Macaca mulatta: one gene and its partners. The protein of the gene in region 2 purifies or fractionates together with the protein of the main gene of each other region. This does not show direct contact. Links are inferred from orthologs where the notes say so. Each region holds a gene or a part of one and is shown on either strand. Other genes may lie near its edges. The genes, in order: NAP1L5, NAP1L1, MAGED2 and H2AX.

Region 1 (4,216 bases), on a different chromosome or scaffold from region 2:
CTGGGTGGGTGGGTGGGGAAGAAGACGGTGGGGCTGGGTGGGTGGGTGGGGAAGTAGACGGTGGGGCTGGGTGGGTGGGTGGGGAAGAAGACGGTGGGGCTGGGTGGGTGGGTGGGGAAGAAGACGGTGGGGCTGGGTGGGTGGGTGAGGTGGGGGTGGGTAGGTGGGAAGAGGGTGGGACTGGGGGAGGGGAAGAAGAGGGTGAGGTAGATGGGGAAGAAGAGGGTGAGGAAGATGGGGAAGAAGAGGGTGAAGAGGGTGGGGAAGAAAAGAGTGAGGAGAATGAGGAAAAAGGGCGCGGGTGGGGGGAAGGTGAGGAAGAAGGCAGTGAGTGGGGAAGAAGAGGGTGAGGAGGGTGGGGAAGAAGAGGGTGAGGAGGGTGAGAAAAAGGACAGTGGTGGAGGGGAGGTGAGAAAGAAGGCAGTGAGTGAAGAAGAGGAGGATGAGGAGGGTGAGGAAAAGGACAGTGCGGGGGCGGGGGAGGTGAGAAAGAAGGCAGTGAGTGGGGAAGAAGAGGGTGAGGAGGGTGGGGAAGAAGAGGGTGAGGAGGGTGGGGAAGAAGAGGGTGAAGGGGTGGGGAAAAGGACAGTGCGGGGAGGAGAGAAGGTGAGGAAGAAGGCAGTGAGTGGGGAAGAAGGGGGGAAGAAGATGGGCAGAAGGTGGGGCATAACACAGTGCGGGGGAGGGGCAGGAGGGAGGGAGAAGATGGTGGCAAGGAAAGGTGTGAAAACAGATAATGGGGAAGGCAGGAAAGCAGATGGTGTTGGGGGAAGCCCGGGAAGACGAAAGTGAGCAGGGTGGGATAGATGGCACACGCTTTAACCAAGATAAGAGGGGGCCTTGGCCCTGGGCCCCATGATTTAGAGAGACTTGCTTTTTTTCAGCCCTCCTCAAGCTTTAGTACTTCCCACAGGCCAAAGATTCTGTAGAACCTTCTAGAACACACACCAGGACACTGGGAGCTCTGAGATTTCCTACCCAAATGACTCCAAAACTGCTTCCAGGGGTGTCCTGCTGAGAGACAACCTTGCCACCAGGGTATGTGTCGCCAGGTGTGTGGGATGGCCAAGGGGGTGTTGGGTAGACACACGGGTACAGAGCTTGGATATGCAAGCTGCCCTATCCACACATATGCTCCCCAGGTCCCCAAAAGGGTAGAATGGAGCCAGCTTGCCCGTTCCTCCACTGCCTGGAGAGGAATGTGGAGGAATCTAAGAGGTGATCAAATGCCAGCTATGGAGAGAGATGCAGAGGTAAGCGAAGACATATGTACTAGCATTTGTAGAAGGGCCTGGATGGCGGTGAGGAGCACAGGGAAAACGGGCTGAGGCCATCTACGCAGTTCCTGAAGCAGCACCTCGGGCAGCCACTGACACTCCCAGCCCAGCTCTACAGGGGGTGGGTACATGGGTGGGCTGGGAACAGGGTGTCTGTCCAACAGGCTGGTGTTGAGGGCCCAGGAGACGTCAGGGTAGCAACAGGAGGAATCTGGTGCAGTATGAGCGCACGGCCGTCAGCTGATAGTGGGGAGCCAGTCAAGTGCCGCAAAAGCAGGGGGCGGGGCCGCGGCCGACGTCATTCCCGCTGCCGCGCGTCACCGCCACTTGCCGCATCCGCAAGATCTCTCTGGACCAGCTCGGGTGCAGGGCCTCTGCGGGATCCCTCCTAGACCTCTGCGGCTTCTCCTCTAACATGGCCGACTCGGAAAACCAGGGGCCTGCGGAGCCTAGCCAGGCGGCGGCAGCGGCGGAGGCAGCGGCGGAGGAGGTAATGGCGGAAGGCGGTGCGCAGGGTGGAGACTGTGACAGCGCGGCTGGAGACCCTGACAGCGCGGCTGGTCAGATGGCTGAGGAGCCCCAGACCCCTGCAGAGAATGCCCCAAAGCCGAAAAATGACTTTATCGAGAGCCTGCCTAATTCGGTGAAATGCCGAGTCCTGGCCCTCAAAAAGCTGCAGAAGCGATGCGATAAGATAGAAGCCAAATTTGATAAGGAATTTCAGGCTCTGGAAAAAAAGTATAATGACATATATAAGCCCCTACTCGCCAAGATCCAAGAGCTCACCGGCGAGATGGAGGGGTGTGCATGGACCTTGGAGGGGGAGGAGGAGGAGGAAGAGGAGTACGAGGATGACGAGGAGGAGGGGGAAGAGGAGGAGGAGGAGGATGCTGCAGCAGAGGCTGCCGCGGGGGCCAAACATGACGATGCCCACGCCGAGATGCCTGATGACGCCAAGAAGTAAGGGGGGCAGAGATGGATGAAGAGAAAGCCCACGAAGAAAACAGCTTGGTTTTGTTTTTCCCAGAATATTGGTGGACTTAAAAAGGCTCAGGTTTTTGACCAAAATACAATGTGAATTTATTCTGACATTCCTAAAATAGATTAAATTGAAGCAATTAGATCCTGGCCAGCTCGATTCAAATTTTTCATTTTGAACATAATAAATATATCAAAAGGTGTTAAAGAAAACCGAATTAAACCCAAAATTATGTTTTCATGGTCTCTTCTATGAGGATTGAGGTTTACAAAGGGTGTTAGTAGATGCGAAGTAAAGAACGTCACTTTGAAACCCATTCATAACACAGCATACGCTACACATGGAATACCCAGGCCATGACTGAACACGTTTTCAGTGCTTAATTCTTAAATTTCTTTACTCATGACATTTCGCTGTGCAGAGAAGGCAGACCCCAAGAAAAACGTCATCTTTGAGACTTTGCTTTTGTAACGCAGACATCAGCTTTACACTTCACAGGAGATTGATGGCACTGAGGAAGACTGCAATGGAGATCATGACACTACTGTTAATAAGGCCAGGAAAACTGCCATTTCAAGTTCTGAAAAATGTTTGAGTATTTGAATTTAGAGAATAACATGGTTCCAAGAAGGAGGGTGTAAAACCTGTAAAATACTGTCAACATATGTATTCATTAGTTACAATCTCATGTTTGTGTTTTCTTAGTAGTGTCTATTTACAAAGACGTAAAAAATACCCCAAATATGTTTAAGTATTAAATCACTTTACCTAGTGTTTTAGAAATATTAATTTACTTGAAGAGATGTAGAATGTAGCAAATTCTGTAAAGCATGTGTATCCAGTGTTATGTACTTTGATCCTTGTGACGTCTTTCTGTCATGTAGCTTTTAGGGTGTAGCTGTGAAAATCATCAGAACTCTTCACTGAAGCTAATGTTTGGAAAAAATACATACTTGAAGAACCAATCCAAGTGTGTGCCCCTACCCCCAGCTCAGAAGTAGAAAGGATTTAAGTTTGCTTGTATTAGCTGTGCCTTCATTATTTTGCTATGTAAATGTGACATATTATAAAATGGTGCATAATCAAATTTTACTGCTTGAGGACAGACGCATACAGTAAGGATTTTTAGGAAGAATATATTTAATGTAAAGACTCTTAGCTTCTGTGTGGGTTTTGAATTATGTGTGAGCCAGTGATCTATAAAGAAACATAAGCTTAAAGATGTTTACCACTGTGGTGTTAATAAAACAGTATTTTCAAAAAAATAAATATAAAAGTCTCGGTACTCTGACTGCCTGTATTCAAATCCCAGCTCTGCCTCCTATTAGTAATGTACCTTAGGCAACTCAGCTAATACTCTCAGTGCTCAATTTCTCCTCATCTACAAAAGGGAATAGGAATAGTCCCTTCCTCATGGGTTACTATGAAGAGCAAATGGATTAATACATATAACGCCTATAGAATAGCATCCAAACCATGGTAAGCGCTGAATAATTCTTAGCTATTATTATTACATGAAAGATAAAGACAGTGATTGGAAATTCAATCCTCCTTCTCTCCTGTTACAAAATGGGAGAAATGGACATCACTACATCAATGCCTTCCCATGTTTCTGATTCCTTATTATGAGAGAAGAATGTGGCCTTTAATTCAGAAACACAGGAAATTAAATAAACTATCTTGTTTTGGTTTCCTCAACATAATATCAAGTTTTTATTATCTCCCAGAAAGGATAAAAGACTTCAATATAACATTAAAAATATACAAAAAAGGCTATTTCAACTTTGTTTGCTTCATTCTGAATGAAGCAGAGTTTTTTTAAAAAACTGGACTCCAAAAAAATTAAAAAATCAGATGCCATTTGCTTCATTTTCCCTGCAGGGTTAAAATTACAAAGAAGCAAAATTAAATTGCTTTATCCTAGGGAGTGGAAGGCAGCACTGACCTGTTGCTAATAACA
Region 2 (4,486 bases):
TGGTAATGATAACACCTAAGTTATAGGGGTTGGCAGGGAGTGGCGGTGAAACCTAAAAAATCAAGAGCCTTCATGGGTGAAGTGCCAAAAATTGGTGAGGTTCTCTGGTGTAGGATAAAAACCATCACAAAAGCTAACTTCTCAATTTTGTCTCAGAAATTCTGCTACCATAAAGATTTATGGAAAGTGAAAGTTATTTAGTTCATTTTAATATGCTAATTACCTTGCATTGTGCAAAGCTTTGATTAAAATGCAACATTCCTGAAGTTCTCATTGAAATTAACGTGTCAAATTTATGTTCAAACTGAGCACTGATCTACATTGTTTATGTATAGTGGGTTCTTCCTGAAGATCCATTATTGATGCTATTACGCTCCTTGTTAGCATTACATCAGTGTTGAGAAGGGTGTATAGGAACAGGCTCTGAGAACAACAAAGGAATTGTATATGAAAAACTAAAATGAATGAATAAACAGAGGCATCTGCAGTGTAGAGTGGGAAAGGCAATTAATTTCAATGAGGTTCTGGAGCGCCAAGGAAAACATCGTATCCCCTCAAATGGAAGATACAGCTGTTAAATGTGTGGATTACAACAGGGGATTCTAGGCAGTTTGAAGTTTCAAGAAATGTAAGATTTAGAGAACAGGTTCTCAAACTTTGTAGTCTTAGGATTCCTTTACACTCCTTTAAAAGTTGAGGACCCCAAAGAACTTTTATGTGCATTATTGATACTGATACTTATGTCAGAAATTAAAAGTGAGAAATTTTAAGAGTATTTCATTTAAAAACAATAAAGCAATCAAATATTAACAAAAATAATTTTTTATATGAAAAATAGGCCCGGTGAGGTGGCTCACACCTGTAATCTCAGCACTTTGGGAGGCTGAGCCGGGCGGATCACGAGGTCAGGCGAGACCATCGTGGCTAACACGGTGAAACCCTGTTTCTACTAAAAATACGAAAAATTAGCCAGGCGTGGTGGCGGGTGCCTGTAGTCCCAGCTACTTGGGAGGCTGAGGCAGGAGAATGGCTTGAACCCAGGAGGCGGAGCTTGCAGCGAGCCGTGATCGTGCTACTGCACTCCAGCCTGGGCGACAGAGCGAGACTCCCTCTCAAAAAAAAAAAAAAAAAAAAAAAAAAAAAGAAAAAAGAAAAATAACTACTCCCTCTTGCCCCCAAATCGAGTTTTTGCAAATCTCTTTAACGTCTGGTTTAACCGCAGATGACTGGATTCTCCTATCTGCTTCTATTTTCAGTCTGTTTCCTTATCACATGTCACATAGCCTCCGGAAAACCCCACTGTACACTTGTGAGAGAATGAGAATGCAAAAGACAGTCTTGACATTAATATGGAAATAGTTTTGACCTTCCTTTTGAAAGGGTCTGGGGACCCTCAGACCATATTCTGAGAACAACTTTTTGAGTTAATGTTAGTCAATTCATCATCACTTGAAAATTAGTTATGAGGTTTTACAAGCCTGAGGATTTAATGCGATTTACTTTTTCAGAAAGATGAAACAACAGACATACTGAATGTCCTCATTACAACGCATCCAGAGAATGCACAAATATGCCATTTTCATCCGTCAAAAGAACTGAAGGGACTGTACATCAGGTACAAGTATGTGGCGGGGGGATGGGGAGCTAAGGATGACGAGCACCCCCTAAAGGCACGGAGACCCGCTGGCATAGTTCGAAGCAAAACAGGCAGAAGAGGCCGCCGAAGTGGTCTAGAGGAAAAAACTGTTTTTCTTAGACGGGGAGGGAAAATAGTTACCGGGGGCCGGCGAGTTGCAGGAATTAGGCCCTGACAGGGAGCGCCCGCCGTCTAGGCTGCGGCGAGAGAGGGACCAGGCGACTAGCGCCCGCCCTCAGCATTCCCAGCACAACGCCGAAGGGGGCGGAGCGGGCCGGGCGCCGGGCACGCGGGCCAGGCCTTCCCCACAACTGATGGGGTTGAGATTTCCTTTCCGGCTCAGCGGGGAGAAAAGAGATGGTGGGGTGCTTAACAGAGAAGGTTAGACACCGGCGGGAACCAGAGGAGCCCAAGCGCGGCGCTGGGCCTCGGGGCTGCAGGAGTCCTAGGGTCTGCAGGAGTCCTCGGCTGCGGTATGGAGGTCGCCGGGGAAGAAGGACGGTTCAGTTGCTAGGCAACCCGGCCTGGACCCGCCTCTCGCTCGCGTTGCTGGGAGACTACAAGGCCGGGGGGAGGGCGGCGAGAGGGCCCTACGTGCTGACGCTAATTGTATATGAGCGCGAGCGGCGGGCTCTTGGGTCTTTTTTAGCGCCATCTGCTCGCGGCGCCGCCTCCTGCTCCTCCCGCCGCCGCTGCCGCCCTGAGTCACTGCCTGCGCAGCTCCGGCCGCCTGGCTCCCCATACTAGCCGCCGGTAACGGATGGGGGCCTGGAAGGGAAGGGGGAACGTAGTTTTCGCTGGGCGGCCTGCGCAGATGGGAGGGCCGGAGGGATAGAGGGACTGGGAGCGGGGAGTCGGGGCCGCTGGCCGCCCAGGGCCTCCGGGGTCGTCCTGTGAGGTCGGACAGGACCGCGGAGTCTGGACCCCGGAGTCTGAGAGGGGCCCTAGGGCCGACCAGCGCTTTTATCTGGGACGGCTGAGGCGACTTAGGGGTTGGCGCGGCCTGGCGGCGTGAGGTTCTCTGAGCTCCACCGTCTTCTCCGCGTGTACCGGAGCGAGGCCGCGGTGACGCCCGGGTGCCCTGAGAGTCGACTGCGCCGCGGGGACCGGGAGGCCCCCGGCGTACGGGCCGGGCCAAGTGCAGAGCCGGCCGCCTTTTCGACACCCCCCTGCTTTTCCCCCAAAAATAATACCAGGAGGGAGGCCGCTGGGAGATGAAAGAACGGCGGAGGCTGCGAATTCCGACGGGAGGGAGGGGCTGTGGAGGGACGAGGCCCCGAGGCGGGGAGGGGGCGGGGGAGACTGCGACGCTCCCTGGCTCTCCGCCCATTGGGGGCGGCCGCGCGGGGAGGGGAAACCCCCCGGCGGCTTCCCTCCACACGTGGTAATGGGCTTCGTGGCCACCAGCTGGGCCTGGTTGGAGACCCTTGCCCTCGGGCTATCCTTACTTTGAAAGTTGTAGAGACCGTGGAACGTGAAAAGGGAGAGTAAGCTAGTAAGCCCTGTCCCTGGGTTTCAAACTCTTCCCTGCTTCTCTTTGGTCTTAATCTTTTTATTGGTACCGGAGATTGTGGATGTTAGCTGATGAGGAAGGGCCTCCACTGCTAGTATTTTAAAAAGTTAACGCGTATATAGCGCTTATGTTAACTGTTATTAGCAAAAGGTTGTTGTTGTGTTTCCCAGGTACAGTTAGATGGGTGTCTTGATCAGGATTTTTTATTTGGGGAGTATTGACCCTAATCGATCTAAACCCCTAAACCAAGCTTGTCCAACCCGCGGCCCAGGACGGCTTTAAATGTGGCCCAACACAAATTCATAAGCTTTATTATTATTATTTTGAAAAAGCTCATCAACTAGTTAATGTATTTTACGTGTGGCCCAAGACAGCTCTAATGTGGCACAGGGAAGCCAAAAGATCGGACCACCCCTGCAAACGGTTCTTAGATGAAAATAAAAAGTTTGGCCCTTTGTGACTTTAATTGTTCTTGGCTTTCTTATAAATTAGTTCGTTTATTTAAATCACTAGAATAAGATACTTAAACTGTTTCCTTTTTAAGATAGGAGGTAGGATGGAATGAGGTGTTAGTATAAACTTAGCCAAGTTTGTAGCCTGCAACCTTGTCAATGAACCCCACTCCCCTAAAGATCTCGGGGATGGCGGTGTAGGGAGGCTGGGACTGAGGTCCTATCTTGGAAGGCTAGACTTTGAGAGTACAAAAAGGATGAACCAGGCACAGGATGTCCTCAAGGAGCCCCTATTTTAGACGGTCACTGATCAGTTCTGAAACAACTACATTTTAAAAATATCACTGCTAACATTTTAAGGTATCTCACTGCTGCAATTAAAAATTCACACTGCTTCCCTGGTTTCAGAAGAGCTGTAAAATGAAATTTGGCCTTTTGAAAATAGGTGGATTCAAAACATCTTTGGAAACGGGTATCTGGGTCCTCTTTTTTTGGTCAGCTTAAATTAATACTCACTTTGGAGTTAATGGAATTAACTCACTTAAATTAATATTTACTTTGGAAGTAATACACATGACCTGTGATTGAATAAGGGAAAAACCTTTTACGTATGGGTTACCATTTAAAAATCAAAGGGAAATAAATGACATTTACAGTTATTTTCAAGGCACTCTTGTGTTTCAAGCTTGTTCGAATTGCCCAAGTTTAAATAAATGGCCTAAATCTATAGTTTAGTTCTAAGAATACTATCCTTTGGAGAATATGTGGAACTAAACCCTAGTAGGTGGACTTGGACATCTTCTATCATAAAACCTGACTTTCATAGATTCTCCTTCCAAGTCAACATTATATTAATAAATAGAAATTTAAAAGTTTTCAGTACAC
Region 3 (4,371 bases), on a different chromosome or scaffold from region 2:
GAGGACAGAGATATAAGCATAAGAGCAGCAGATATCCCCAGCACAATGATGCAAGGGCAATGGAGGGCAGAGCTTAGGGTAGAGGGAGGATTGGTAGGACTTTACCTGAGCGCTTGATGGGAATCTTCGTCTGGTCTTTAGCCAAAAGGTACTTCACCAAATCATTTGCCTGGCAGAGTAGAAAAAGATGGAAAGACCAAAACAAGTTTGCTGAAAACTTGAGACGATGGCAAAGAAAAGGGCAGCCAAGGCAGTAGAAAAGGCAGAGTAAAAAGGACAGAGTTCTTACCCTCCCTTGCAAAAGGGCCACATCCCGAGGTGGTGGTGCTTCAGGCTCTTGGGATGACTGGAGCTTGGCAGCTCTACGGCGAGCCTTGCCCCTACGGGCTTTAGGTGATCTCAGGGAGAGCAAGGCTCTCCGGGCCCAAGCAGCCAACCGAGTCCTTGATGCCCTGCGGGCCCAAAAAGCTATGGGACCCCTTGAAGCCCTGCGGGCCATTGAGGCCATTAGGGCCTTTGAGACCCTTCGGCCACCTGTGGTTCCAGAAGCCTGACTCTGATCACTGCTGCCATCCTCTTCCCCATCCAGATGCTTCACCTGCATCAACAGAAGCTCAACATCACCAGATGAAACAGGTGGTCCTTTTCCTCTCCCTATCTCTTCCAGGAAGCACCCGCCAATCCCGTCCCTGTAGTAACAGCCTGACTTAATAGATGTTGGCTATGCTGAACCCTGGGTTTGTTTCTCACTGACTTCCAAGCAAGTGTTTCATCTGCCTAGCAAGCCAGGAGCAAACCAAGGGTGGGTGGAGGCTGAGTCTTCTTCTCTTTCTGTGCCCACTACTGGCTCTGCTTGAACCATCCCTAGAAAAACTGCTTCACCTCTCTGGAACTCAGCTTCCTTCTCTATAAAATTGGGGCTATGAGAATTACTTTCAGGATTTAATGAGATAACCTGCATAAATGTGCTTAGCTCAAGGCCTAACACAGGGCAGCTACTATGTAAATATAAACTGCATTATATTCAGATTGCAGCTATGTGTATTCCTGTCTCATCTCCCCATCAGTCTGCAAGCTCTCTGAAGACAAGAATTACATCACATTACTTTCAGTGCCCCCCACAGCCCTGATGAGCACAGGGATCTTTCTAAATGTTTGTAGAACAAATGAACCAACTGAGAGGAGAGGAGTAGAAAACGAAGGGTGGTGACTGCAGAGGTCTTACCTTTCGGGCTTTCTTGGCTTTGACCTTGGGCCGAGTATCCTGATTCTCCTGAGACTGGGCAGCTGCACTCTCAGGCTCAGGTTCATCTGCTGGGGCCTGAGAGGCAGCAGCCTCAGTCTCCTGGGCCTTAGTATTGACCTTCGTATCAGCCACACAGCTGACCTTTTTGGTCTCGGTGGCAGGCATTGTCACAGCCTGCGGGTCAGCATTCTGTTTCTTGGTGTCAGCTGCTAGACTCTTGTTTTCAGCTGCCAGAACCTGGGTATCAGTCAGCTGAGTAGTAGATGAGGCCTGGGTGGCAGGTGCCTCCTGAGCCTCTGGGGTCTTTGAGACCTCTGTGGCCTTTGGGACCCCAGAGGTTTTTGAGACCTTCACATCCTCTGAGACCTCCGGTGCCTTTGAGGCCTTCGGTGTCTCTGGGACCTCCACATTCTGGGTCACTGTCAATAGAGTCTGCATCATCGAGCTACTGTCCTTTTCTGAAGCTTCAGCCTGCAAGAGGAAGCAGGGAAGTTCACAGACCTTCTCCCCACCCCCAACTAAGCAAATGGTTCCAAAATTCCAAGGCCACACTTCTCTGACCTGTACTCGTACCTGCGGTGTGCTCTGACCACCTCAGCCGAACAAGGCCTCCCTTTCCTCTGAGCAAGAACTGAAGGCAGAAGAGGGGCCCGCCCACCTTCTCTCCCTCCCTCCACTGGGCAGGGGGACACCCAGGCAGGAAAGTAGGTGGAGAAGGACAAGGATGGGAGGGGAAGAGCCAAGGGACTTAGGGCAGCAACAAGGGCTGGAGAGGAAAAGCAGCTGGGGAAAGGACAGAAAGAGGCCTTACCTGGAAGCTAGTTAGACCCGCACCACTCTCGCTTGTGTCAGACATGTCTCAATTTGGCCTGGCAAGAGCTGAGCCTGAAGAGGAGAAGGCCTGGGTCAAGTTGAAGCCCACTGAACGTCCTCTCCCCTGTTGTGCCTGGAGGCTGATCCTTACCTTCCGTAGGTCCCCAATTCCAACCCCCTCCACCACCCACAACGACTCCGTTCTCAGATACAGGAATCCAAAGCTTCTAAGTCTCAATTGTCTGCAGCCGCACCCTCCCCTTCTCCAGGAAGATGTGCCAGCGCGGCAGCTCTGAGGACCCCGCCCCTTTTCCCAGTGCACCCCCCACCCAGCCGCAGGTCGATAGAGCGCATGCGCGTCGGCTGCAGGGCCGTTCTCAGCCCCGCCCGCTTTCCCAGCACGAGCCCTTTCTTTGATGTCCACCGTGCACATGCGCATTCAGCAGCTGGCTCGTCTCAGCGCTGGCCCTTCTCAACACGCCCCTTTCAGCGATACATAGTGCGCATGCGCAATGATCGTGGTCTCAGTCTGGCACTCTGCCCCGACACACGCCCCTCTCCAGGTCCGCAGTACCATTCGGTCCCGCCCCCTGCCCAAGAAGCCTTCCTCCAAAATTGTCGCAGTGTCTGGTGGGCCCGGCCCCTCCCCTACTCACGCCCTACCGAGTCCAGTGTCTCTTGGCCCCGCCCTTCTTCCTAACACGCCCCCCTCCAAACAGGCGCATCTTGGTTCCGCCCCTTCCCTATTACACCCCCTCCTCAAATAAATATTGAGCTAGTGATTCCATCTTGGGCCCGGTCAAACCGGGTCCAGTCCCCTCCCTTCCCAGCCGGATGGATCCGGTACGATCCGATCCTCATGACAGGTTTTCTCCAGATCCCAGAGGGTGCGGCCGACCCCTAGCGGGGCTCTCATCCAAAAGCCCGCCCGGCTGCTCACCTCGTCCTCCTACAATTCCCGAGAGCGTCCACTCACTCCAAGCCCCTCCGAAACTCAGAGACTGCCCTCCCTTCTCTAGGCCGGAAGTGGTCCCGCCCCTTTCCGCCTCCCTAGGGGGCCTCCGTCCCAGCCTGTCTGCCCCTCCCCCGCTCCCTGCTCCTCATTCCTTATGCCCCCCTCCGTATTCCCTTAGCCTGGCTCCTTACTCCCTATTCCCACCTCACATTTTCTATTTACTCCAGAATTCCCTCTTCCCATTCCTTACATCCTCCTCCGTGTTACGATTGCACACCCTGCCCCTCAGTATTCCTTAACCCCTCTCTGCATCCCCATTCTCTTCTCTGGATCACTCCCCCTTAGTGTTCCCCTCCCTCCTTGTATTCCTCGTCCCCCTCCCAACATTCCTGGTTCCCCGTTTTTCTCCCCTCCTCCTCCGCTCGTCTCTGCTCCCAGTCTATACAGCCTACCACTTTCTCAGTCGTCCTCATTGCCTACACACCACTCCAGGTCACCTCTGCTTCAGCTGCAGTGGTGCAGTAAGAATTGCTCATCTGCCTGGCTATGGGTTCGAGGGGTCTGGAACCACTCTATGACCTCCATAAAACCCCAATCTCAACGCACCTCACCTTGTCCTCCAGCGAGTTCGGGATGCGTCTGCCTTCTCTAAGTCCCTCTCGAAGTCTCAGCCTCCTGGACTAGAGCTGCAGACAGCCCAACCCAGCCCAGCCCCTTTCCGCAGCCCCCTGCCACCCCCCCTCGCCTTCCTCGGGGGTGGGGCAATGGGGCCCTGCTCAGGGCTGTCTGACGCCAAAGCCCATGTTTATGCCACTGTACCAGGCTCAGTCTGAAACTCTTCCAACCCAAACCGCCTCCGAAAGAAAGTCATTCATTGAATTTATTTTTATATCTTCATTTTTTCTTATTACAAAGGTAATATGTTGTTGTTTTGTTGTTGTTGTTGTAAAAATTAAAACAATGCAGTAATATATAACATACCAATGAAAGGCCACTCTTATCTCCCAGAAATAACCACTATTAACATTTTGCTATCCAGATTTTTTTTCTATTCGTATACTAATTATTCAGGTTCTCTCTCCGACAAATGGTACACTATACATACCTTCTGTTCTGCGACCTGTTTTTTTCCAGTTATATATAAAAAATCTTTCCGTTAGTGCACATTTTTCTAAACAGTTGCATGATCTTTTCTTGTATAGATGTCCCATAATTTATTGAACCAGTCCAGTACACATGTACATTTAGATTGTTTGGGGCACTTTTTTTTTATTTAGGGTATTTTTTGCTAGCTCAAATGCTACAAAAACGTCTTCCATTTTGATAACAAAAGATACAAAATTTGTCAACTTACTCC
Region 4 (3,726 bases), on a different chromosome or scaffold from region 2:
ATTTTACTTATGACTTTCTGCAACTTGCTACTCTCCCTCTCCATCCTGTCTTTGCAGCCTCACAGGGTGGGATACAGAAGTTTTTTTTTTGCAGTTATCCACAGTCACATTTCAGAGTCCTGACTCTCAAGGAACTACTGGTTTTTGGGATAGAACTTGGGCCAGGGCTAGGGACACAGGCTCCACAGTGACCTGTTATTTGATTGTAAATTAAGTGTTCTGATTAGTAAGAAGTAAGCAGGGGGCCACATGCTCTCAATGGAGACAATAAAGTGTTGTCTATTTCTTATTGTTCCTGTAGGTATATTTCCTATATGGGCATTTTTGGGTGGATTGGGAGGGTAGGTGGGGGTACTTCCTCCAACAGGATGCCTATCTCTCTGCCCCACCAGACCCCGTCTAACAAGAAGTGAACAGAACTGAGACCAAACAGAACATATTGAATAAACATTTAAATCCTGATACTTCAGGTGGCATGGAGGGCCACAAAATTGAAGTTATCCTGTTTCCTGGCATGGGGTCAAACTTTCAAAGACACCAGGTACAGTGGCTCATGCCTGTAATCCCAGCACTTTAGGAGGCCGAGGCAGGAGGATTGCCTGAGCTCAGGAATTCAAGACAGCCTGGGCAACAAAACGAGACTCCGTCTCTACAAAAATAAATAATTAGCCCACTGTAGTGGAGCATTTGTAGTACCATCTACTCGGGAGGTTAAGCAGGAAGGATCCCTTGAGCCCAGGAGTCCGAGGCTTGCAGTGAGCTGAGATCACACCACTGCACTCCAGCCTGGGTGACAGCAAGCAAGACCTGGTCTATTAAAAACAAGAAAGAAAAGAAAGAAAGAAAAAGAAAACTTTAAGGGGTCTAATTTCTTCCCTTTTCCATTCTCCCTTTGTCAGGTAGGAGAAGGGAGTGTGGAGTGACCGGACCTGGAAAGGGTAGCTATAGTATTGACCCCTTTCCTTTAAACATCCTACGCCAGCACAGATTTCCCAGACGCTCTCTAGGTGGCCTCAGACTCCACCCCTTTTGTCTTCCGGTTCTGCCTTCCGACTGTAGTGTTTAAATCTCGCGCGCTTTACAAGGATTGGCTACATAAGCGGGTGTTTGGCCGTCTGCGTGCTACCCCGCCTCCTCGCCTTTTCTCCCCGGGCAAAAGGTTTTCAAATTCGACCAATCAGCGCGCGCTCCCTCAGCCGAGGCGCGACACCCAAGGGTTAACCGCAACCAACCGGAGGCGGGTATTGGAGAAAAGAGCCAATCAGGAGGGCGCAGAGGTGTGTCCTGGGGGCTTATAAAGGCGGCCTCACGGCGCGCGCGCGACAGCAGTTACACTGCGGCGGGCTTCTGTTGGGGTGTCTCTGAACCGTTGTACTTCACCGGTCTACCTCGCTAGCATGTCGGGCCGCGGCAAGACTGGCGGCAAGGCCCGCGCCAAGGCCAAGTCGCGCTCGTCGCGCGCCGGCCTCCAGTTCCCAGTGGGCCGTGTACACCGGCTGCTGCGGAAGGGCCACTACGCCGAGCGCGTTGGCGCCGGCGCGCCCGTGTACCTGGCGGCAGTGCTGGAGTACCTCACCGCTGAGATCCTGGAGCTGGCGGGCAATGCGGCCCGCGACAACAAGAAGACGCGAATCATCCCCCGCCACCTGCAGCTGGCCATCCGCAACGACGAGGAGCTCAACAAGCTGCTGGGCGGCGTGACGATCGCCCAGGGAGGCGTCCTGCCCAACATCCAGGCCGTGCTGTTGCCCAAGAAGACCAGCGCCACCGTGGGGCCGAAGGCGCCCTCGGGCGGCAAGAAGGCCACCCAGGCCTCCCAGGAGTACTAAGAGGGCCCGCGCCGCGGCCGGCCGCCAGGCCTCCCCATGCCACCACAAAGGCCCTTTTAAGGGCCACCACCGCCCTCATGGAAAGAGCTGAGCCACTTCAGACTGCGGGGCAAGCGGGCCGCGGCTCCCGGCTCCTTTCCCCTCCCATCGCCCGCCTTTGCCGCCCGGCCTCGAGTCCCCGCCCGCCCCCCTCCTGGCCTGCACCGCCTGCCGCGTCGGCCTCGGGCCCTGCCCCATCCGCCGGCCGCCCTCCGGTAGGGCTCGGGCCCTCTGGACGCGGCTTGGGCACTCTTCGGGGACCACCGTGGCGCGGAGGACCCGAGCCTGCCGGGGGGAGGCCGGCGGCGCCGCACCTGCTCGCCTCGGCGCTCGTGACTCAGCCAGCTGCCCCATCCTGAGTCGCTGAGGGGCTGCGGGGAGGCCGCAGCACCTTCTGGAAGACTTGGCCTTCCGCTCTGACGCAGGGCCGAGGTGGGCAGTCCAGGCCGAGAGGCCGGCGGCCCTGAAGGTGAGTGAGGCCCTCGGCAGCTGCAGCCAGGGTGTCCGGCACTCCCCCGGCGTGGTGCTTAGCCCAGGACTTTCAGACGTGGCCGCTGGCCTGGAGGCTTTGGTGGGAGAGACACGATCGCTGGTTTCGGTCTGGCGCCCCCTCTGCGGCCGGGACCCAGGCCTTTCACATCAGATCTCCCTCCATCTTCATTCATAGGTCTGCGCTGGGGCCGGGACGAAGCACTTGGTAACAGGCACATCTTCCTCCCGAGTGACTGCCTCCTACGAGGACATTTAGGGGAGGGCAGAGGCCTGCAGTTTGGCTTCACGGCTGGCTATGTGGACAGCAAGAGTCGTTTTCGCGGAAGCCGACTGGCAGCCAAGCCTGTCGGGCCTCCCCATTTCCCTTCCAGCAAACTCAACTCGGCAATCCAAGCACCTAGATACCAGCACAAGTCGGTTAATCCCTGTCTGGACTGAGCCTCCGTTGGCTTCCGAACTGGAATTTTGCAGCTAACCCTTCCAAGACTAGAACCTTAGGCATTGGGGAGTTTTAGATGAACTAATTTTATTAAAGGATTGTTTTTCTAAAAATGGAGCATTTGTTTTCATTTTGCAAGAGAGTTGTAGGATTAGTGACTTTCTATACTTTCCTGATAGTGGGGGTGGGAGGGGCATGCAATATAAATAGGCTCTACTGTTAACCGAAGAAGGAGCAAACCATAGGAATTTAAGATTATGGCTCTGTTTCTTGGTGTTCCTGCGAGACAATTTATTCTGTGTGAAATGAAAACTATTGAGGCAGAAGCAGAAAGGATGTACCAGGAGAACTTTGGGCAAAAGTCCCAGCCTCCGAGGTAAGGATGAAAGGGCTTTGTGTTTGTTCATATCTTCCCGCCAACCCCCCCCCACACACACACACAAAAACACCTTCAGAGCTGGTTTATTAGTAGAGTTGGTTACATTCAAAGGCTGTGGCTTGGACTTCTCTAAAGAGATGAAGCCCCCACATACTGAGGAGGCAAGGCAGTCATCAAGGCCCCAAACTGAGGCAAATCCCCGGAAGGCTTGAACCCTGCAGTTCAGTCTTCTGAGGTAATCACTCCCCAGACAGCAGTGAGAATGGGGCACTGAGGGCCGGGATGTAGGCACTGGACAGCAGCAACCGAGGCATCTGTGCCCCACAGACCAGTTAATGGGCATCGTTAAGCTGCCGTGCAACATCCAGGATGTTTTTGGCTCCTTTGCTCAGCAACAAGTTGGCCAGGCTGATGCCCAAGTTCTGGGCAGCCAACTGGGGCCCTCGTGGAATGTTACGAGCAGTGATGCCTACCAGCTGTGGGTCATCCTCAGGGCCATCTTCATGCTGTATGCGGGGAGGGAGGTGGGAATTGGTGAGAACAAATGA

Evidence for each region.
Region 1: the proteins of NAP1L1 (region 2) and NAP1L5 purify together in Homo sapiens (affinity purification with mass spectrometry; 3 studies listed by BioGRID and IntAct, counting the BioPlex papers as one, with this or other methods). This does not show direct contact. The link is inferred for Macaca mulatta from reciprocal best matches to the Homo sapiens genes NAP1L1 and NAP1L5.
Region 3: the proteins of NAP1L1 (region 2) and MAGED2 purify together in Homo sapiens (affinity purification with mass spectrometry; 4 studies listed by BioGRID and IntAct, counting the BioPlex papers as one, with this or other methods). This does not show direct contact. The link is inferred for Macaca mulatta from reciprocal best matches to the Homo sapiens genes NAP1L1 and MAGED2.
Region 4: the proteins of NAP1L1 (region 2) and H2AX purify together in Homo sapiens (affinity purification with mass spectrometry; 3 studies listed by BioGRID and IntAct, counting the BioPlex papers as one, with this or other methods). This does not show direct contact. The link is inferred for Macaca mulatta from reciprocal best matches to the Homo sapiens genes NAP1L1 and H2AX.

The regions. Positions count from the first base shown.
Region 1 is NC_133410.1:98,014,862-98,019,077, reverse strand, and holds NAP1L5 (nucleosome assembly protein 1-like 5), read left to right. Parts: upstream 1-1,580; 5' UTR 1,581-1,692; coding exon 1,693-2,241; 3' UTR 2,242-3,525; downstream 3,526-4,216.
Region 2 is NC_133416.1:83,254,356-83,258,841, reverse strand, and holds the start of NAP1L1 (nucleosome assembly protein 1-like 1), read left to right. Parts: upstream 1-1,672; 5' UTR 1,673-1,950; coding exon 1,951-2,017; exon of another isoform or gene 2,018-2,109; intron 2,110-2,276; exon of another isoform or gene 2,277-2,389; intron 2,390-4,486. UniProt on the Homo sapiens protein: Histone chaperone that plays a role in the nuclear import of H2A-H2B and nucleosome assembly.
Region 3 is NC_133426.1:54,646,199-54,650,569, reverse strand, and holds the start of MAGED2 (melanoma-associated antigen D2), read right to left. Parts: upstream 3,072-4,371; 5' UTR 3,000-3,071; intron 2,354-2,999; exon of another isoform or gene 2,211-2,353; intron 2,132-2,210; 5' UTR 2,103-2,131; coding exon 2,058-2,102; intron 1,718-2,057; coding exon 1,226-1,717; intron 599-1,225; coding exon 290-598; intron 170-289; coding exon 106-169; intron 1-105. UniProt on the Homo sapiens protein: Regulates the expression, localization to the plasma membrane and function of the sodium chloride cotransporters SLC12A1 and SLC12A3, two key components of salt reabsorption in the distal renal tubule.
Region 4 is NC_133419.1:119,778,387-119,782,112, reverse strand, and holds H2AX (histone H2A.x), read left to right. Parts: upstream 1-1,322; 5' UTR 1,323-1,397; coding exon 1,398-1,829; 3' UTR 1,830-2,912; downstream 2,913-3,726. Other genes in the region: HMBS (porphobilinogen deaminase), read right to left, coding at 3,511-3,684. UniProt on the Homo sapiens protein: Variant histone H2A which replaces conventional H2A in a subset of nucleosomes. Nucleosomes wrap and compact DNA into chromatin, limiting DNA accessibility to the cellular machineries which require DNA as a template.